Coturnix japonica: one gene and its partners. The main gene of each other region encodes a partner of the protein of the gene in region 2 in a complex. Links are inferred from orthologs where the notes say so. Each region holds a gene or a part of one and is shown on either strand. Other genes may lie near its edges.

What was found.
Region 1: SNIP1 (region 2) and CWC15 share a complex: the UniProt entries of both Homo sapiens proteins name them as parts of the minor spliceosome. The link is inferred for Coturnix japonica from reciprocal best matches to the Homo sapiens genes SNIP1 and CWC15.
Region 3: SNIP1 (region 2) and RBMX2 share a complex: the UniProt entries of both Homo sapiens proteins name them as parts of the minor spliceosome. The link is inferred for Coturnix japonica from reciprocal best matches to the Homo sapiens genes SNIP1 and RBMX2.

Annotation. Positions count from the first base shown.
Region 1 is NC_029516.1:165,900,396-165,904,596, reverse strand, and holds the start of CWC15 (spliceosome-associated protein CWC15 homolog), read right to left. Parts: upstream 3,030-4,201; 5' UTR 3,007-3,029; intron 2,973-3,006; exon of another isoform or gene 2,861-2,972; intron 1,666-2,860; 5' UTR 1,658-1,665; coding exon 1,527-1,657; intron 1-1,526. UniProt on the Homo sapiens protein: Involved in pre-mRNA splicing as component of the spliceosome. Component of the PRP19-CDC5L complex that forms an integral part of the spliceosome and is required for activating pre-mRNA splicing.
Region 2 is NC_029538.1:3,338,071-3,342,271, reverse strand, and holds the start of SNIP1 (smad nuclear-interacting protein 1), read right to left. Parts: upstream 2,455-4,201; 5' UTR 2,431-2,454; coding exon 2,279-2,430; intron 2,197-2,278; coding exon 2,100-2,196; intron 1,244-2,099; coding exon 660-1,243; intron 1-659. Other genes in the region: DNALI1 (axonemal dynein light intermediate polypeptide 1), read left to right, coding at 2,585-2,665, 3,666-3,802, 3,885-4,054. UniProt on the Homo sapiens protein: Required for pre-mRNA splicing as component of the spliceosome. As a component of the minor spliceosome, involved in the splicing of U12-type introns in pre-mRNAs. Down-regulates NF-kappa-B signaling by competing with RELA for CREBBP/EP300 binding.
Region 3 is NC_029519.1:1,522,291-1,526,491, reverse strand, and holds RBMX2 (RNA-binding motif protein, X-linked 2), read left to right. Parts: upstream 1-1,347; 5' UTR 1,348-1,396; coding exon 1,397-1,401; intron 1,402-1,483; coding exon 1,484-1,599; intron 1,600-1,747; coding exon 1,748-1,799; intron 1,800-1,877; coding exon 1,878-2,007; intron 2,008-2,129; coding exon 2,130-2,310; intron 2,311-2,724; coding exon 2,725-3,170; 3' UTR 3,171-3,678; downstream 3,679-4,201. Other genes in the region: RAB33A (ras-related protein Rab-33A), read left to right, coding at 814-1,269; SLC25A14 (brain mitochondrial carrier protein 1), read left to right, coding at 3,988-4,051. UniProt on the Homo sapiens protein: Involved in pre-mRNA splicing as component of the activated spliceosome. As a component of the minor spliceosome, involved in the splicing of U12-type introns in pre-mRNAs.

The DNA of each region.
Region 1 (4,201 bases), on a different chromosome or scaffold from region 2:
TTCTCCCCATAAGACAGAAGAGACAATGTACCACTGCAGGGGAAAAAGAAAAGAAAGAAATATGGAGGGAATGAGCACAACAGTCGCTTTAGTAAAACACAAGTGCATCTTTTCCCCTCTTTTATATAATATACACAGGCAAAAATCAACAGGCTGCTTTCATTCAAGTCACACAAAGTTCCACCTAGAACATGCTGGACTTCTCTGCAAGACTTGAGAAGAACTGATGAATAACAACATGCAGCAATTCCTTTCACCTTGCTGTGAACTCAGGTTTGGAAATAAGAGTGTCTGAAAGAAACCCAGGCTCCAGTCATTAGAAATACACTGCGTGCACAAGCTGTCTTTATGCTGAAGCATTTCATTTGCTTTTACAATTAAAAACTTGAATTCAGAATCCCTGACATGGCTGCAAAAATCCCCCCCAGGCCTTTTGTCAAAGAGGCACGGGAGAGTGGGACTGAAATACCAAATCTTTCTTGCAATTATGCAGCCCTTGGCAAATTAGCAAAGACAACTTTGTATTTGATATTTGGGAGAATGAACTTAAGATGCTTAATGCCCCTTCACACACACATACACACTCACTCAAAGGGATTCGTTACCACACACACATCGTATATTCCTGTATGTATTTCTTCCCACACACTCATTTCAGAACAACAGACTGGTGCTCCACACTCCCGCTCTGTTTAAAGAGACAGACCACCAGCCACTTTTCCCTTAATAGCACATTTTGTGCTGTTGCTTTTGGTGATCTCTGAACATCCCACCTCCCGTATCCATGTTACCTTCAAAGTTATTCAAATGGGTGGAAGGGAAGCAGTGAAAGGGTAAATATCTGCACTAAGAAAGCAAAACCCAAGCAACAGTTTAAGCTAGAAAAAAAGACTATTTTCAGGCTGACACAACTCAGTTAAATCCTGTGGCATGTTGACTCCAGATTTCATGCTATCTTAAAAGAACATAAATTATTAAGCATTCCAAACACAGGATAGTATTCATATAAAATCCCATTATCTTTCACACCAGTTAAAGCAACAGGCTCTTCTAGAACCCTTCTAGTGTTTAACATCAGCTCTTCCAATACTTACTAATGCCTGAGTGCTGTTACACATTGCCCTGCCTCTTCTTAGTGCTCTTCCCCAGGTTCTTTGCCAATATATGACATACTCAACTTCATACCTCCTATCCCATCTTGTAAGTCACACCACCTTTCTAGCTCAGCTGTCTCTGTATGTTCCCAATGCTTTTCTTTTCACTCCATTGCCTGAAATGCTTAATCTGTAAAGATTACCTTCTCCTGATTCCCTTCCACAAGCAGTTATTGACACCACTAAAACTAAACCTTCCAAATCAGTTGCAACCCACTCAATCTCCTAAGCCTGCTTCTGTGTCTGCTTAATGTCAAGCAAACAAATATCTAACGTGAAAGAAATTCAGAGTGTTGGTCACATCACAAAGAAAGAAAACAACAAAACAGCTCCAGGCTGCTTTGCTATAAGACAGACAATAACGATACTTACCTGTATTTGATTTTAGTATGAGAGGGAAGGTCTCTGCTGGAATACTGCTTGGATAGCTGACTTAAGTCTCCTTCACCTTTTCCTCTCCCTCCTCTTGCAGGCTCAAACGTTGGCCTCGCTGCTGTCGTCATTTTAGTTACTAGAGTCAAGGGCAAAAAACAGTCATTACTATAACTTAAAGTGAAAGCCATTCACCAGAAGCTACGTCATTCTTGGAACTGCTGCAGCAACAGCAAATCCCACTACACAATACAAATTATCAACTGGTGCATGAGCCTTAAAGCTTAAGAGCTTCTTTTACTGACAGCTTCTTTTCCAACATGCCTGAAAGATGATAGAGACTCAATCAAGAATGTGAGGTCATGTTTATAGAAGTGGATAAAATGCCAGGAGCCAGTCTCCTATCCTTATATCTTGGTAGAAGAGTAATTCTTTCCCCTCTGGAAAAAAACACAGGATCTAATAATGAAATCACAGAACTGTGGGGGTTGGAAGGGACCTCTAGAGATCATCGAGTCCAACCCCCCTGCCAAAGCAGGCTCCCTACACCACGTCGCACAGGTAGGCGTCCAGGCAGGTCCTGAATATCTCCAGAGAAGGAGACTCCACCACCTCCCTGGGCAGCCTGTTCCAGTGCTCCGTCACCCTCACTGTAAAGAAGTTCTTGTGCACATTCGTGCAGAACTTCCTATGCTGTACTTTCATCCCATTACCCCTAGTCCTGTCCCAACACACTACTGAAAAGAGACCAGCCTCACCACTATGGCTCCCATATAACTGATGCCAAGAAGTGCTCAGCACTGCACAAAGCAGCTGGAGGCCACGCAGACCCAAACCATAGAGCCAAAAGTTTAGGGCAGTCCACCAAGAAACAAACAAAACAAAAGAATCAAACCAACCAACCACCCTGGATGACCCATCAGTGCCATCTTCAGTCTGTTAAACGAAACTACACACATCCATAAGCACAGCCTAAGGACTTAAATAAGAGACATACAAAAGGTGGTGAGGCCCTGGCACAGCTGCCCATAGAGCTGTGTGCCCCATCCCTGCTCAAGGCCAGGTTGGATGAGCCCTGTGCAGCCTGAGCTGCTGGGGGCAACCAGGGGTTTGCTCCGATCAGGTTCCATCAGCGCAGCATTGGAGCAGCCCCGTCAGTGCCGCACAACGCCGGCTCGGCTGAGCCGCCTCCATCGGCGCTCTCCCAGGCCCGTCCAGGCCGCCCCACGGCCTCAACCTCCCTCCCGGTGTCCCCCCAGGCTGCCCACCACCCCAGGGCCGACCCTCCACATTCAGAAGCCCCGATTTAATCCCTTCAATCCCCCTTCTCTGACCTCGGGGTCTCCTCCCGCTGAGCAGCCGGGCCCTACGCCACCGCCATCATCCCGCCCTCTACCCACAAGGCGCCGCGCAGCCACCACAGAGCGGAGCGGCGGAAGGAGGAACTACCATAGAGATGGAAGGCGGAAAAACTTGTTACCTCAGTGCGGAATTGAGTCCGCCATGTTCGATAATGAAGTGGAAATAGACGCTGTTGGTGCCTGAGTGGCACCTGCTGTCCGCCCTGAGGTACAGCAGCACTGCGTGTGAGCTGTGCTTTAAAGTCGTGTATGACTGTGAGCAGTACACACACCCTGCTGTGCTGCCATAGAACCCTTGTGCTGCTGCTTTTCTGTGTGCTTACAGAGTCATCCCAGCTCCTCCCGGCTGCCTCCCACCCCGCTGGTTCTTTGGCTGTTTGTGCTCAGTCACAGCTCCTGCTCCACTGTCTGCCTTTGCTTCCTGATGGCTGCCAATGGCTTTGCAATGAGGAAGAGACCTTGTGACTATTCTCAACAGAGAAAAATCCACGAGTCAGCAAGAATTCCCTGCAAAAATAAGCACAGAACCTGAACTAGGCCCTTCCTAAGCACCCAGGAGAGGCTCACAGGGGAACGAGCCATCCCCCTGCAGCCCACAGGCACATCTCGCATCTCTCATACTGTGTCCAGGTGTGGAGCCCTCAGTACAAAAAAGACATGGAGATTTTGGAAAGGGTCGAGAGGAGGGAAACGAAGATGATCAGGGGACTGGAGCACCTCCCCTATGAGGACAGGCTGAGGGAGTTGGGCTTGTTCAGCCTGGAGAAGAGAAGGTTGTGGGGTGACCTCATTGCAGCCTTTCAATACCTGAAGGGAACTTACTCCCAGGACGGGAGTAAACTCTTCGAAAGGGCTGATAATAGCAGGACTAAGGGGGACATGTTTTAGAGATTAAAAAGAGGGAAAGATATTTTAGGCATCCTCAACGCGCACTCGCACTCTATCATACCAGGGGGAAGTTCTTCACTCAGGAGAGTGGTTAGGCCCTGGAACAGGCTGCCCAGGGAGGTTGTGGATGCCCCGTCCTTGGAGGTGTTCAAGACCAGGTTGGACAGGGCCCTGGGCAACCTGATCTAGTAAAGGTGTATGTTTGGTGGCCCTGCCAGGCAGGGGGTTGGAACTACATGATCCTTGAGGTCCCTTCCAACCCGGGTCATTCTGTGATTCTGTGATCTCCGTATGCAGACATGGAGGAGCCCACTGTGCAGCAGTGGAAGAGTCCTGGAGGCGGAGCAGCCCCAGGCCAGGGTGCAGCCTGTGGAGAGGAGCCTACAGTGGGGCAGGAGGGCTGGGGGAGCTGCTGCCCGTGGGGCT
Region 2 (4,201 bases):
AGAAAACAAAAACAACCCATCAAGTCAATGATAACACATGGATTTTTCAACACATCAGCCCCACTGTTGTAAATACTTAACCATACTTCAAAGATCTGAGCAAGTACAATGAGAATAATTAGACAGGGCACGGAAATACTCAAGATTCTGACAGACTGCTTCACCCCTTAAAGTTATGATCATATAACATAGTAAATCCTGAAGCAGAACAGATGGTTGTTCCTTAAGAGAGCAGCTCTGCCTCCTGAAGCACACAACCCTGCTGTTTATAAAGGAGATCGGCAGCCTTTGTTGGGAAGGAACAAATGAAAAACCCTCCTTTAAACGTTCTTTATTGCCAATCCCACCTGCTAATAACTCCAATTCAGATATACAGGCAGTTCTGTATTTCATCCTGTTGTGTTGTGTTTCTTACTAAAAGTCTAGATATGGTTAAACCAAAAGGAATTATATATATGTTAAGAGTCACGAGGCTGCTTATGGTTAAACAAAAAGGAATTACATATATGTTACATCCATACCTAAATTCCACCTATCTAAAACCATTGAGCAAACATGCATTTTCTAATCTGTGCACATCCAATACGTTCTTTGATTCCCTTTGCACGCAAGCGACCAAATAATCCCCACCTACCAGAGGGATACAGAGCGATACTGACCGGTATTGGAACACAGCGTGTTGCTTTGAGCAGGAGGGATGATCAATGGGGATATCTGCTATCCTGCGGTGCCTGCCCAGGAGATAAGCACTCTGCCTATGAATGTACATGACAGGCAGGAACTCATCGTTTTTAAATGGATAGAGACGCCATCGTTTCTTTGGAATCCGAGCTTCTGGGGGCTCACTGTATTTAATCACAACGCCTCGGAAAGTGTTGGTATCCTCCAGAAGGGCACCAGACAGTTCAAAGCTTGGTTTTTCTTTGTTTACAGCTTTATCTTTTGGTTTGTTATCAGATTGTTTGTGTTCTGGATTCTGCTCAGCACCGCTCCCCTCGTTGTTCTGTCGATGCTCTCGTCTTCTTTCGTTATAGAACTCCCTCTCTGCTTGTTGCTCACGGATGTTCTGAACATCTCTTTCTCTCTCATGGCCTCGACCTCCAGGTCTTTCCTCCTTTTTCCTCCTGTCTGAGTGATCTCTGTGCCTGTCTCTGTCACCGCTTCTATCTCGTCTGTGTTCTTGCTCTGACGTGTGTCTCTGCTTTCTCTCTTCATTTCCTCTGTGAGGATGATCGTCTCGTTCCTGAGGAAGAAGACAGAAAACACATGAAAAACACAGACTGTAACATGGTACGTGTATATCTAGATTTATTTATTTCCTTCCAAAGTGAATTCCCACAACTTGGGCCCAACAATGCAAGGCTGACAGAGAGCAATGCATCATAACATCAGCCTTCAGGGTCAGCCTGCAGGCTGGGCTCACTTAAAGGCACAAATACTCATTTTCTTACAGGAATAACAGGGGCTGGGCTCACTAAAAGGTACAAACACTCAGTTCTTTCCAGGAAAACACGAAGCAGAGAGCAAGGAGATGTTACACTGTAAGACTCTCTCTTCCTTAAGAGTTATTCTAGAGGGATCAGGGGGCTGGAGCACCTCCCCTATGAGGACAGGCTGAGGGAGTTGGGTTTGTTCAGCCTAGAGAAGAGAAGGTTGCGGGGTGACCTCATTGCAGCCTTTCAATACCTGAAGGGAACTTACTCCCAGGAGGGGAGTAAACTCTTGGAAAGGGCTGACAATAGCAGGACACGGGGAAATGGTTTTAAGTTAAAAGAGGGAAGATTTGGGTTGGATGTTAGGGGGAAGTTCTTCACTAGGAGAGTGGTTAGGCCCTGAAACAGGCTGCACAGGGAGGTTGTGGATGCCCCGTCCTTGGAGGTGTTCAAGGCCAGGTTGGACGGGGCCATGGGCAACATGATCTATGGGGTGTCTTTGGGGATCTATGGGTTGTCTGTGGGGCTCTATGGGGTCTGCATGGGGTCTGTATGGGGTTCAGTGGGTCTCTATGGGGCTCTATGGGGTGTCTATGGGATCTCTGTGGGGATCTGTGGGGTCTCTATGGGGATCTGTGGGGCCTGGCCTCTCCCAACGCCATTTACCTGCTTTACCCTCACACCTCCATGGTGCGGACTCCTGCTCCTCCTCCCCCGCGGTGATTTGCTCCTCCGGCCGGATTTACTCTTCCTTTTAGGCGACCTTTAAATCAAGTACACAAGAAATGCACAGAACCTCAGGGTTACGATACAGGGCCGTAATAAGGCCCTATGAGGCCTCCTACCTGCTGCTCCTGCCCCGTCGCTCCTCAATGGGGGGGGATTGGCTCCCATAAGCCGAACGGGACCCGCAGCTCCGTGGGCTGCGCTTCTCGGCCTTCACCGCCATCTCCCCCCTCCTTCTCTCCCTCCTCCTCCTCTCACTCTCAGCCTCCATCTTGCTACCGACTCCCCCCACAACCGGAATTACGTTTTCACATCCGTGTTACCTCTCTCTCAACCACCCGGAACTACATCTTTACCTAACGCTCATGCGCCTTTAGAACAAACAACGGAGCGGCGTTTATAACCATAGCGACCGAGGAGCCGCCATGATCCCACCGCCCGATTCGCTGCTGCGTTATAACCCGCCCATGCTGGTGAGTCGCCGTACTGAGAAGCGATCACCAGAGGTGAGTGAATATGAACCGATATTATGGCCCATGAAGGCCAAAGGAATCCTATATTGTATCAAAACCAGTGTTACTAGCAGCAACAGGGAGGTAATTGTCCCCCTGTGTTCAGTTTTGGGCACCTCACTGCAAGAAAGACATTGAGAATACATTCAGAAAAGGGTTATGAAGCTGGTGAGGGGTCTGGAGCATAATGGGGACTTATAAGAAGAAGCTGAGGGAGATGGGGTTGTTCAGCCTGAAGAAGAGGCTCAGGGGAGACCTTATAGCCCTCTATAACTCCCTTAGTTAGAAGTTAGAAGGGAGGTTGTAGTGAGCCTCTAATCCATGATAGAAGTAGAGGGAATGGTTTTAAGCTGTGTCAGGGGAGAGTCACGCTGGATATTAGGAAGTATTGCTTCTCAGGAAGGGTAGTCAGGCATTATAATGCACTGCCCAAAGAGGTGGTGGAGTCACTGACCATGGGAGTGTTCAAGAAACATCTGGATGTTGTGTTGATGAATATGATTTAGCTGGGAAGTATTGGGAATGGTTGGACTAGATGATCTTCTAGGTCACAGAATGACCCGGGTTGGAAGGGACCTCAAGGATCATGTAGTTCCAACCCCCCTGCCAAGCAGGGCCACCAAACATACACATTTACTAGATCAGGTTGCCCAGGAGACCCCATAGAGACCCCATAGATCCCCCATAGATCCCCATAGATCCCCATAGAGACCCCATAGATCCTCATAGAGACCCCATAGACCCCCATAGAGACCCCATAGATCCCCATAGAGACCCCATAGATCAGGTTGCCCATGGCCCCGTCCAACCTGGCCTTGTACACCTCCAAGGACGGGGCATCCACAACCTCCCTGGGCAGCCTGTTCCAGGGCCTCACCACTCTCCTAGTGAAGTCTTTTCCAACCTTGATAATTCTGTGTTTCTGTGATTCTGAATGGGACGGGGGGAGCCCTCACACCTCACCCATCCTGCTCACACCGCTTTCTCCCTTCAGGCCTCACCGTTGAAGGGAACCCCACAGGCCTCCCCGCCATCAGGCCCTGTCCCTCCGTCCCGACCTCGCACTGCTGCCGCCTCCGCCGCCTCCACGAAGGAACCTCAGGAGATCCTGAACGCCATCCTACCGCCGCGGTGAGCCGGGGAGGGGGGAACAACAAGAGCCTTAACTCAGGACCGCCCCGCCGAGCTCCATCGCTGCTGCTTTCCGGTGCAGGTCATGGGAGGAGGATAACCGGCTGTGGGTGCAGGAGGTGTCCAGTGTTCCCAGCACCCGGCTGGACGTCGTGCAGCTGCAGGAGCAGCTGGATCTGAAGCTGCAACAGCGGCAGGCGAGGGAGACCGGCATCTGTCCTGTGAGAAGGGAGCTGTACTCGCAGTGCTTCGGTCAGTGGCACACTTAAATAACAGCCTGGAAAGGGTATTTTATGTGTACATAAAAGATACAAGTGCTTAATGTTGTATTGGTTGTACATAACTCCAATCATGACCTTAAAAACACTGCAAAAAGCCCTTAGCCATTCCTAATACTAT
Region 3 (4,201 bases), on a different chromosome or scaffold from region 2:
TTGTGTCTGTACTCCTCTCAAGTCACTTGTCTCACCTTCCACCTTCCCTGTACTTCCTCTTTGTACCTCTTGGTATTTTTGCTTGACTTCCTCTTTGTTCACATGGGCAGCTCAGAGGTGGAGGCACATCAGTATTGGGTAGCTTTCTTTGGTCCCATTTTCCTATAGGTCCTTGACCCACAGGACTCTTTCAGAGCCACCTCTTGGTTAATGAGTTGGCTTTACCTTCACAGCTGCCCTGCTGAAGCTGGCCCAGCGTAGCAGCTTCCCTCGCTGGCTCTTCTATCACTTGAGTTTTGAAGTTGGAATCTCACGCTTTAAGCTGTGCTGTGTTGCCCCTCCAGCATACACTGGAATGGCTGAAGGCCTCCAGAAGGGCCTAAGCCTGCAAACATGAGACTCCCATCTGTCTGCAGAGGGCACCTTCCATTTACTCTCCCTGATCAGGCTGGAGCTGCACACTGCCCTGTCTCCATGGCTCTCGGCTCTTTAATCCTTATTGTTTGCCTGGTTCCTCCCCCAGACAGAGCTCCATGCAGGAACGCCGCTCTCTTTGCCCTGCCTCCTTTGTGGATACAGAGCATCATTTCAGTGTCCTCATACAGCACAGCATTAGGTGGGTTGGTGTGTTAGTCTGTTCTGACACGAGCAGTGCTGTGTGCAGTTTGACAGGGATGATGGCTGGGTACACCAACATGGGGCAGGTAAGTCACCGGGCTGGGGCCTTTCACCCCTGTAGCACAGCAATGAGCAGAGCAGCAGCACAGCATCCTGCAGCAGCAATGGCTGCTCACGCCGTGTTGTGCCCCATAGGTGCAGGTGTGGGACACGGCCGGGCAGGAGCGGTTCCGGAAGAGCATGGTGGAGCACTACTACCGCAACGTGCACGCCGTGGTCTTCGTGTACGACGTCACCAAGATGGCGTCCTTCACCAACCTCAAGATGTGGATCGAGGAGTGCAACGTTCACGCCGTGTCCCCCCTGGTCCCCAAAGTGCTGGTGGGGAACAAGTGTGACTTGAAGGACCTGATCCAGGTGCCGTCCGGCATGGCTCTCAAATTCGCCGACGCTCACAACATGCTGTTGTTCGAAACCTCGGCCAAGGACCCTAAAGAGAGCCAGAACGTGGAGTCCATCTTCATGTGCCTGGCCTGCCGGCTCAAGGCGCAGAAGTCGCTGCTCTATCGCGACATGGAGAAGCGGCCGGGCCGGGCGCAGAAGCTAGAGCCGTCACGTGACGCCCACGGTAAAAGCGCGTGTCCGTGCTGAGCGCCGACCAATAAAGCTGTGCGGAGCCCTCGGACTCGTTGCTTTGCTTGGCGCGCATGCGCGGCCGGGGCGGGGGCGGAGGCGGGGGGGTAAGGGGGGCGCATGCGCAGTGCGCGCCGCCGCCGCCATGAAGTAGGTTTGGATGGGGGCTGGGTGAGGGGGGGGTGTGCGACCGGCCGGTGCTAACGGTGCTAACGGAGTGCATCGCCCCCAGCCCGCTGACCAAAGTGAAGCTGATCAACGAGCTGAACGCGCGGGAGGCGGAGCTGGGCGTGAGCGAGGCGGTGTCGTGGCACGCCGAGTACAAGGACAGCGCGTGGGTCTTCATCGGTACGTGTAGGCCGCGATGGGGGGACGGGGAGGGAGGAGAGAGCAGGGCTGTGGTAGGCCCTGTGCTGGGCTCCGTGCTGGGCTCCATGCTGGGCTCCGTGCTGGGCTCCGTGCTGGGCCTCCATCGCTGCCCTGTCTCCCCCCGCAGGCGGGCTGCCCTACCAGCTGACAGAGGGGGACGTCATCTGTGTGTTCTCGCAGTAAGTTCCTACCTGCTCCATCCCCATCTTGCTGTGCCCCTCCAGCCCTGCTCTGTGGCTGCTGATGGTGTGTTCCAGGTACGGGGAGGTGGTGAACATTAATCTGGTGCGGGATAAGAAGACTGGGAAGTCCAAAGGGTTTTGCTTTTTGTGCTATGAGGATCAGAGGAGCACCGTGCTTGCTGTTGATAACTTCAATGGGATCAAGGTGAGTGATGGAGCTGTGTGGCTGCAGCAGCTCCTGGAGCGCTCAGAGCACATCAGAGAGAAGCTCCATCGGCTGCTGGCCCCACAGCACACGCTTTGCTGACTACCTGACTCCTGTCCTAGATCAAAGGCAGGACGATCCGAGTGGACCACGTGGCCAACTACCGGACTCCCAAGGACTCCGATGATTTAGATGATGTCACAAAAGCCCTCCATGCAAAGGGCTGCGGAGTGAAAACACCACCTCATACGTCGTCAGATTCCTCCTTGGAGGATGAAGACACGCCAGCCCAAAAGCAAAAAGGTGAAATGCATTTCTGCCCATCTTTGCCCTGGGTGGGAGGATCTGTGTGGGCTACAGGGACTCTTAGCTCAGCGTACAGCAGGGATAGGGATCCTCTTGAAAACAGATGCAACCCGAATGTCCAGGCTTATCCTCTGTGATCTGCGTCACACTGCCAGTATTTATCTATGATCATTCACCCCCTGCCTCTGGAGATCCTTATTTTGCAGGTTATAGTGGCACTCTTCCTGGAGAAAAGGAGTTGGGCTGGGCTGCAGGGATGTTGCAAGGGGGAGGGGGCAGGACAGTGGGGGACAGGGAGAAGAAAGGCTCCAATAAAGCCTTTCTCTACAGAGCTCTGGTGCTCTGTAGCAGAACTGGTGGGGATGATGCTTGCAGGACTGTCCATCTCTAAGGATGACCTTTTTGTTTCAGATAAAGAGAAGAATAAACATGAACGGCAAAAGCAGAGCTCTCAGGCTGCAAAGAGAGCAGCACCTGCCGAAGAGGCACATCCGAGAATCAAGATTAAAAAGGAGAAGGAAGATCCTGGCTACGAGCGATATGCTGCTGGTGGGGGTCAGCAGTCCTGCAGTGAGTCTGAGAGGAAACACGTGAGCAGGACGCAGCGAGATGAGGAAGAGCAGAGACACCAAAGGTCGTCGGGGAGGAGAGGGGAAAAGAGCTCCCAGGAACACAGAGGGCAGAACAGCTCACGGGAAGAGAGAGGAGAGGTCAGCAGGAAGGGTGAGGGACACAGCAGCTGGCGAGAAGAGTGTTCTGAGGGAAGCAGATCCAGGCACCGGCGGGAGAGCAGCAGCAGAGAGCCCCATTCCAAGCACAGGGAGCGTGGATCCACCAGAGATTCCAGCCGTCACTGAGCCCTGGAGTGAGCACCTTCTGGGCCACAGCTGTGCTCTGTGAGCTGCACCGGGAGCCTGTCTGAAGCCTCCTGCTATGGCCCTAAGGGTACCACAGCTGTGTCTCGTCTCACACACACCACTCTGACCGGTTCACTCCTCAGACAGGTTGCTCTCAGTGCTGTGGGCTGTGATGTGGGCTCTGCTGCTGCCTTGCTCGGCCCTTCTGTGCAGTGGCATCACTCAGACGGTTGTGGAGGGGCTCACGGCACAGTGTGGGCAGTGGGGTGCTGAGCAGCAGGATACGGACACCGAAACTGCCCACGTTGTTCAGGGGGAGCGTCCCTGTCTGCAGTGGGGCGGTGGGTGCTTGCAGGCGGGCACGGTGCTTTGTGCCCCCAGCCCGTCCTGCTTCCTTTGTTTATGTGATGGATATCAGAGGCTGCTGAGCCATCGCAGTTCATGGCGTTTTTTGTTTTAAACTCCTTTTAATAAAAATCGATCCTTTAACCAGAGGAGATGACTGGGAGCACTGCTTGTGTCCGGTTGTGCTGTTTGGACTGAGCATTGATGGCAGCTGACACAGAAATGGGGAGCGCACAGCAGTGGATCTGAGCTGCGCTTTGCTCTCGGGGTGGTTCCGGTCGGTCCCGTGCCTGCAGCGCTCTCCCGTCTCCTCCCCGCCGTTCTCGGGCGGTGCCGCTGGATCCCAATTGCGGGCCGAGCTGCCGGGTCCGCCCGGCTGGGGGGCGCAGTGCTTCCCGTTCCGCCGCGCTTCCGGTTCCGGGTGGAGTTGAGGCAGTGTCCGGCCCGGCGCGGCGGCGCGCCCCGCCATGCCATGTCCGCGCTGAACTGGAAACCCTTCGTGTACGGCGGGCTCGCCTCCATCGTGGCCGAGTTCGGTGAGCTGCGGCGGGTACCGGCGGGTACCGGCGGGTATCGGCGGGTACCGGCGGGTACCGGCGGGTATCGGCGGGTATCGGCGGGTACCGGCGGGTACCGGCGGGTATCGGCGGGTATCGGCGGGTACCGGCGGGTACCGGCGGGTATCG